Xenopus tropicalis: one gene and its partner. The protein of the gene in region 1 binds, or shares a complex with, the protein of each later gene. Links are inferred from orthologs where the notes say so. Each region holds a gene or a part of one and is shown on either strand. Other genes may lie near its edges.

What was found.
Region 2: the proteins of lrrc7 (region 1) and camk2a are in contact, whole or in part, in a crystal structure (PDB 6X5G), measured with the Homo sapiens proteins. The link is inferred for Xenopus tropicalis from reciprocal best matches to the Homo sapiens genes LRRC7 and CAMK2A. Residues at the interface, in NP_001357714.1 of Homo sapiens: His843, Gly844, Arg845, Arg846, Pro847, Leu848, Ile849, Arg850, Gln851, Asp852, Arg853, Ile854, Val855; in NP_001350919.1 of Homo sapiens: Glu96, Phe98, Glu99, Ile101, Val102, Lys137, Glu139, Leu159, Phe173, Ala174, Gly175, Thr176, Pro177, Gly178, Tyr179, Leu180, Ile205, Gly209, Tyr210, Pro211, Pro212, Phe213, Trp214, Tyr222, Gln224, Pro233, Glu236.

What each region holds. Positions count from the first base shown.
Region 1 is NC_030680.2:83,029,529-83,034,135, reverse strand, and holds the start of lrrc7 (leucine-rich repeat-containing protein 7), read left to right. Parts: upstream 1-1,555; 5' UTR 1,556-1,693; coding exon 1,694-1,718; intron 1,719-4,607.
Region 2 is NC_030679.2:21,001,485-21,005,306, forward strand, and holds part of camk2a (calcium/calmodulin-dependent protein kinase type II subunit alpha), read left to right. Parts: intron 1-1,235; coding exon 1,236-1,308; intron 1,309-2,124; coding exon 2,125-2,227; intron 2,228-2,607; coding exon 2,608-2,691; intron 2,692-3,523; coding exon 3,524-3,618; intron 3,619-3,822. UniProt on the Homo sapiens protein: Calcium/calmodulin-dependent protein kinase that functions autonomously after Ca(2+)/calmodulin-binding and autophosphorylation, and is involved in various processes, such as synaptic plasticity, neurotransmitter release and long-term potentiation.

The DNA of each region.
Region 1 (4,607 bases):
CCATACCTTGTGCACTCTGAAGAACTGTTTTAAACTGTAAATATATGTTGGGCTGCTACTGGATGGTTTAAGGGAGACATATAGCATAATTTGAAACCCAAAGGCATGGATTGGCAATCTGTGGGTTCTGCCAAATGCCAGAGGTACTGTTGTAAGATGCCCCAGACAGACAATTTATAGGGCTGAGGGGGGGGGGGCTATTTGGGCCTTTGTGTACTTGAAATGTCAGGGCCTATTTTAAATCCCAGTCCAGACCTGGAAACCACCTATAATAAATTATATATGGTGCTGGTTTCACAATGGGTTAAAATGATCATTATCTATGTATTGTTGGAGCTCCCTATAGACCATCTCTGGTTCCATTGAGGAATGGGCATGCCAAAACAGTACCTGCCAGAAGCACAGTAGGATGGCAATAGCCAATCACAGCCCAGCAGTCACACAAGCAATGACAGGCCTACAGTGCAGTGTGCTGAGTGCCACCGGCTCCCCTGCACAGCCTGGGAAAGGAGACAGCAGGAAGTGGCACAGATAGGTGGGGCTCAGTGGCATAACTATATAGGAAGCAGATCCTGCAGTCACAGGGGGGGCCAGTGAGGTCCTAATTAATTTAGAGGAGTATAATGCACTGGCACAATCTTGTTTTCACACACTATCTCCTTTAACATCTATTTAAGCAATAGATTCTCCAACTGAGGGTCTGTTCCTCTTGATCCCCGTGTGCAGCATTGGCAGGCTAAGGGTAAATTTGAGTAAGCTTTGGGGTGAATGCTGTCTTACATGTTCTTTGAACTGTGGCTAAATTGTCGGCATACTAATAATACATTCAACATATGTTATAGTCCTAAAAGAGGACTTGAGCAAAAGAACAGCCCTGACTGCCGGCGTACGTCCCTCACTCAGCCCAGGAGAGCATGTCAGCACCTAGGACAGCAGCTCCCCATTGCCTTCATGTTTTAGGAACCTGCGGCCCCGCCTGCGCCTGCGCATAATGAAGCCACGCCCACAAGGCTTTCCCGACACTGACGCTTTGCTGGGCAGACTAAAGCGACTAGCGCACTCTGTTCTGCCCGAGCTCTGTGAGTTGTGCCGCTTCCATGGGCTTTTAATGAGCACTGGTCTTCCCGCTGCAGCAAACACAGGTAGAGAGGCGGGGCCAGGTTCTTGCTTGTAGTCTGACAGTTCGGGGCTATAGCTTTGGTTTGTTGCACCTTCCTGCGCACTGGAACTGATTTCCTAGTCGCTGGTCTATGCTGCGAGTAGTAGGGCTGGGAGCTGGATCCCAGGGTGCGATACTTGAGTGATGCACCTGTATGGAGGTAGGGAAGGATGAGCCGAGACGCTTCGGATTCCCATCTGTGCTGCTCCCTGCAGATCGTTCGAGGCAGACATGGACTAGAGGCTACACGGGGTCTGGCAATCACGTGTGCGATCTAACTAACGCGCTGGCAAATTGGCCCTGATCTCTGTCACTGGGATGGATTGGTGATATGCCTTTGAGTGGACTTTGTGTGAGCCCTTACGTGCACACTTCTGCTCTTGCCAGCCTTATGGGGGGCATCCCATGCTCGCACCTGAAGGGCATCTTTTAGGCACCATGAGCTGCTGCCGCCGCTGCCATTGATTCAGTTCCTTCCCGTCCCGCACCCCGGAGACCCTAGGAATAGCGCCCGCAAAGCTTCGCTGGAGCCTAATGGGCAATTTATCGTCCCTCCAATGTGAGTATTGTGCGCTCTCCCAGCCAAGTTTCCCTGCCTGACAGGACTATCAGCCCGGCGCTGGGGGCTACTGGCTGGAACCCCCATTCCAATGCAGGAGGGTTCCCATGTCATGTAGAGGGGTGCAATCAGCTGGAGTGCAAAGGAATATTCTGCAGGTTTTTCACATGTCTGTGTGTTATTCATGATGAATATGTGCATATTACTGCTGGGTATGCTGTAGTTATGATCATTCAAATATGGTGCTGCTGGAAATAGCAATACATCTGACAGCAGGGTACCTGCTGCCTAGCTACAGTTAAGGTAAGCTGGAAAGTGACATTATTCACCCCCCTCCCCTCCTCCATAAATGAAAGGTGGCAAAATGCCATATGGCAACAGTCCTAATTTGCACTTCATAGAACACAAAAGCAATGGAGAAAGCATCAAATATAACACTGGTGTATGTGAATTGTAATTTTGTAACTATTAACACGTCTGGTCCGCAGATAATTTTATGGGTAAATACTGTTCTGTGATTTGAAGCTATATATGTAGCTTCCCATTGTTTCAGGAGGAATAAGAAGAGCTGTGATTACTGCATGCATTTGGGAAAGGTGAGGAATGCCCAGGCTGCACCCTTCCAGCTGTTGCTTGATTGCATTTCCCAGCATTCTCAGGCATCTTTTGACTACCTGGGTGTGCTGGGAAATGCAGTTTTGATGGAGGGTCACAGGTTGGGTATCACTGCCATATAGTAATGTTGGAGTGTGCTTATAGTAACCTTTCTGGCTAGAGCTTAGGATAGTGGAGAGGTCAGAACATGGAGAACTGATGTGTGCTGCTTTGTGACCTTTTGACTATGCGTGTAGTGACTGACACATTCCCATGCCAACTGATCATTATGCATATAAATAGATAAACTTTTTTAGATTGCAGTATTCTTAATAATGGTCTGGGCTTTAACTGTATATAGCCCTGCTCAACTGGCTCTTGTAAATTCTTGTAACCTACTTCAGAGATTTAGGCAAAAAGGCTTGGTTTTCTCTTTCTTTGTTACATGCTTAGGTTGGGCTTTAGTGCAGTATGCTTGTATCAGTAAATCTGAAGGAGATTCTGTCTGGTTCCCATGCCTTTGACAGTTGACTGATGGTAACTGGTATATAGCTAATAAGGAGCTACCACGGGAATGCGTTTTCTATTTAAAGAACCTGTATAGTGAGCACCAAATGAAAGCTCATTTCTCTCACTCTGCCCCCTCCTTACCATCCTTTGCTTCTGTGGTAGAAAGACGTGCTTCTTCCCAAATCCCATTGGGCCTGTGTTTCTATATATGGAATACGGATTTAGGCAATCAATGCGCATGCAGAGCCTAAGTGATCAATCCTGCACTCCACATGCTGCAGTCACCCACATTTTCATGTCTTACTATACAATATATAAAAACTGCATGGGGATTTATGGAACCGTGCCCACCTCTTCACTGCTTAAACACATTTTGTAGAAGAATTAAATTGAAATGATATATTAAAAAGGTATTTATGACAATATATGGAGGAAAAAAATCTTAGAAATAACATTTTGCATTTTACCATGTGACCCACAAACAGAAGACATTATATGAGAAACCAAATTTGTATTGTATTTAGCATATATTCAGGCATGTGAAAAAAGGGTAATAATTCAATATTTTATTTGAACATTAGCACATGGCATGCTCTTTATATAATCAGTATGTTTGCTAATGTCCTGACTGGTAGATTTGGCTCATTGTGTACAAATGGAGAAACAGTCTAAATATCTCCTGCATAATATCCTTTCTAACTAGTAGCTTTTTTTAAATGGTATTAAGACTACTGTGTAACAGGTTGCCCTCTGTCGATATTTACTTATAAAATGTCTTATTGTGTGTGCGTGTTGTATAGTTGCTGAATGATTGGATAAGGAACACTCTAGGCACTTACTGTAGTTATTGATTACTGTATTTACTGTATCTTTACTTTGCAGCTCCACTTTCAAACCATTGGAATCATTCTAGAGAACCCATTAACATTTTAGTCCTTTATGGAAAGTTTGATTACATCAGCTTCAAAGTCGTGCAAAATAATATCCATAACAGTGTACCCGTGGGTATAGCCAAAGTGACCCTGAGCCACATGGACAGAAATACAGAGTGTGTATGTCCTACTGCAAGAATGAGGTCTTACTGCTGACTTTCTGCAGTGCTTTAGCCTAAAAGGTGAATGGTGGAGAATTTGAATGACAAATATGTTCAAAATTCTGCGCCTTATTAACAATACAGTACCAATTATGTGTTTGTATATAATCATATGTGTATCATTATGTATGTCATTTAACAAAGATTGTGTCATCACTTAGCTAAAAACACCCCAACCTTAAACTAGTTAAATCAATGTGATATATGTCTATGTAATCTCTGGTGCTCTTTAACAATCTAATTAATTTAATACCAGTGAGACATTTGGGACTAAGGGGCTGACTCATGAGCATAGGTACTAAATTGCAGTTGCCAGCAGCCAACAATCAGAGTCTACAACAACTTAGAAAATACAAGTAAAGTCCTGACTGGTTGCTATAGGCAACAGCACTTGTGCAAGTTGGCAACTATGTTTAAGTGAGCCATCCAATCTTTGATTCACGGTATTGCTGTGGAGCTAAATGTACTGTATAAAGTTTGCCCAAGGCTTGTCACCTGTAGCAAACAACCAGTAGGTAGTGTTACTGATCATCTGTTTAAAAGTAGGCATCTTATTCACCTTATTGGTTGCTATGGGTGACTAGCCATGGGCAGACTTTGTGCCTTTTATTAAAATGCCCCAATTGTATCTGTATCTTGAGGCTCTTGTATGTTTGTTATCATTTCTGGAGGCATCATTTCTGACTGCAAGG
Region 2 (3,822 bases), on another chromosome or scaffold:
CATATATATATATATATATATATATATATATATATATATATATATATATATATATATATATATATATCAGTAAATATTGCCCTTTTACATTCTTTCCCTTGAACCACCATTTAGTGATGGGCTGTGGGCTCTCTCGGAGATCACCTGACAGGAAATCATGCAGGTGTAACAGGAAGTAGTGTGGGAGTAAAAGACAGTCTATTAATTGGCTGATGTGACATAACGAGTATGTGTGCCCTTGGTTTATTTGTGTACACCGTGGGGCCAGCCTTTAGTATTTAAAATGGTAATTTTGGCTTACCCAAAGGAACTTGCTACTAAAAAATATATTTTTATAAACGTGGTTTATTTAGGTGAAGCAGAGTTTTACATTTGAGCTGCTTTATGCAATATATTTTTATAGAGAACTACTGGGTATGTTTGAGGGTATAGTTTTCCTTTAACAAGACAGAAGGCTGTTTTGGGTGCAAAATGCACACTATGCAGGTTACAAGCATACAAATGATGCCTCAGGCTGCAGATTACAGGACCAATTCTCATTTTATCTGGAAATGATTAAACCTACAGAGTAACTAAGCCAATCCTGGGGATTACTTTTTGTTTTTAAATGGCACAGGTCTGGACTGGGATTCGAAACAGATCCTGGCATTCAATTACACATAGACCCAATTGGTCAAATAAATAGTAACTGTCTATGGCATCTTAACAGCAGCCCCTCTGGCATTTGCCAGAATCCCCAGACTGCCAGTCCTGGCCTAGATTGGCAGCATTCACTACAATGACAGGGATTGGTTATCTTTGTAGACAATGTGAAATAACGTAAATCCCAATGGTTATGAAACCTGTGTTTCTGGGTAACCACTGAGCAGATATGCCAATTTTCCAATATTGCCCAATATGGTAAGACATCGGTAACTCCACCGAGGAAATGTAATAAAAGGCTCTAAGTTTCTGATTACATGTGTAAAAAAAAATCTTATTAGTTTCTATGGGTGACAGCACTTGGGCCTTTTATTATATATGGGGGGGGGGGGGGTACTGGTTTAGTATAGAAAAGTCAGGGCAAATGGCCATATGTGCTATTAGTGTTCATTAATGTGCAGTATTTTTCTTTTATTAATTAACCAAGGCCAAAGCCTCTAGCGGAGTATAGTATGAAACCTCTGGGACTGCCAAATAGTCTATTAACGTAATGAGAGCAATGTAATGTCCTGTTTTTGCTTTCTTTTTTGCAGCCATTGCATTCAGCAGATTCTAGAAGCAGTTTTGCATTGTCACCAGATGGGGGTAGTGCACAGAGATCTGAAGGTGAGGGTAGCGGCAGTATGAATCCAGCAGTTGCCTCTATACAGACACCCTTGTGTACATGTTTGCCTGCATCATTCTCTGGGTCTTTCCAGTTTTCCTCATTGGTCACACACCCCATACTCCAGTTTTCTTTCATCATGTTTCCCCTACACATTCTGCATACTGAGAGCATATTCCATTTCCCTGGTTGTATGATGTTTCTACATGTACTATATTGCAATAATGTAATAAAATTATTCCCTTGGTTCTTTCATCAGGGTGTTTCTACACCAATATCTACAACATGGTGTATGTGCAACTGCAGTAAAGAGCCATCACACACTCTGTTCTTTCATCACAGTCTTCCTTTTTAAATACCATACATACCAATTCATTCTGTTTTTTTACCCAAAGTGCAATTTTATACCAAGACTGTCCTTGGCTTCCCTCTGCCATAGCACTAAGGTGCACCTACATTGATCTTTTATCATGATGACTGCTGCACCTGCCATAATCAGGCCAAGCTACTTGAAAGCAGATTGTGTTTTTTGCCCATTCCCTCCTCAGTCCTTCAGAAAACAAAATAACCTACCACAACCCCAAGCTCAAAATGTTCTCTAAGCCGCCTGACCCTTGGACCTATGTCCTATGCACATCTCTATTCTAGGTGGCAGTTGGTAACTAGAATTCTCCAATTCTCTCCATTCTTCCCTCCATTCACCATGATATAAAAAAGTTGGTAGAACAGCAACAAACTCTTGCTGCAGTTTGCTATTTTATCTGTTTTAGAAAATTACACATTGTTTTAATTGTTTTCCTTTGTTTTCCCTTGCACAGCCAGAGAACCTTCTTTTGGCTTCAAAACTAAAGGGAGCAGCTGTCAAACTGGCAGATTTTGGGCTGGCCATTGAGGTGGAAGGCGAACAACAGGCTTGGTTTGGTAAGTGAAGTACAGAGCTAACCTTTGCTATTTTCTGTAAGGCCCACTGTTTATTGTGATATTATTGTAAAGCTCTACAAAATGTGCTGTCAATATATGCTGATGATAATAATGATATCCTTGCCCACCCAGACTATTACTACCAAGGAACAATTTAATGCTCAGTTCTCTTGCGAGATCCCTAGTACAAACCCGCAAAGTTCAAATGAAGGGTGATAGGATGGGGTCATTACAGATAATAAAATAAATACTACAAATATCTGTTATTAAATAGTACTTTATCAGTTATTTGTATTTTGTAAATTTTTGCCCTAAAAACCCTATCGAGGGGTCATGGCAGCATCATGGTTTGGAGACTGACATGTATCTGGTTCTCACAGGCTTTGCAGGAACGCCCGGCTATCTCTCCCCAGAAGTTCTAAGGAAAGACCCCTATGGAAAGGCTGTGGATCTCTGGGCCTGTGGTAAAGATTTTAACCCTTCCTGTTAAAAATGTCTACTGAACAAATGATTCTTTTTTTAACATTCCTAAGCAGAAACAATTTCTAAGTTAGTCTAAAAGATTCTTTTATTCATCAGAATGCAAACTCACAACCAACCTACTATTTCTTTTTAAAGACAATTATAGTTCTAAATAACTTGACCACATGCATTAAATTCAGTGCAGCTGACCATAAAGAATTGTTGATGAGGTTTAGAGGGTATAGATCACTTCTTATTCAATGCAGCTGATGCAAGACTTTTTAAAATTACAGTGGAACCACCAGGGGACCAGAAAAGATGGTGTAAAATCCAGGAAAAATTTAAAGCAGGAAAATGCATTATATATTGGTGGGACCACAAATAATAATGTAAAACGAGAGAAAATTTAAAATCAGAGTATGTAAAATTGAGGTTTTATTTTAGGTCACCTGCAGTACCAATGTATTCAGAGGTAACTCAGTTACATGGACTGCAATGAAGCAGTGCCAATGTGTAATAATGATATGTCGGGTGTATAGCTGTAAGGGGTGCCAGTCATCACTTTGACCATGCAGTACTTTTAGCCTGTTGGCCAGTCACTCACGTTCTGTTGCTGGTGCTGCATTCCATTGCTGCGGAACCATAAAGATCTTAGTTAAATTGCTATTATATATTCATAGATGATTCTGGCCCCCGGTAACCTGCAGGGACCTGCCACCTGAGGCAAGTTTCTCAATCCTATTTTATAAATGTGGGAGCAGTTATACGCATATAGTTTAAGGGTAAAGCAATATTTGAATACTGACAAATTTATTCTCTCTAAATCTTGGCTAGGGGTTATCCTGTACATTTTACTTGTTGGTTACCCTCCTTTCTGGGATGAAGATCAGCACAGACTATACCAGCAAATCAAAGCCGGTGCTTATGATGTAAGTGTCTTTATATACTGTTTCTCCTTACTCCGATGTACTCTCAATTATGCGTAAAGGAAAGTAACCCCCCTATCCTCAGCACTCCCCTGCATTGCCCCTCTCCAAATACTTTCCCTGTAACATTCTCTATACACTCACATACAGACCCACACTGACCTATCTATCCACTCACATACAGACCCATACTGACCTATCTATACA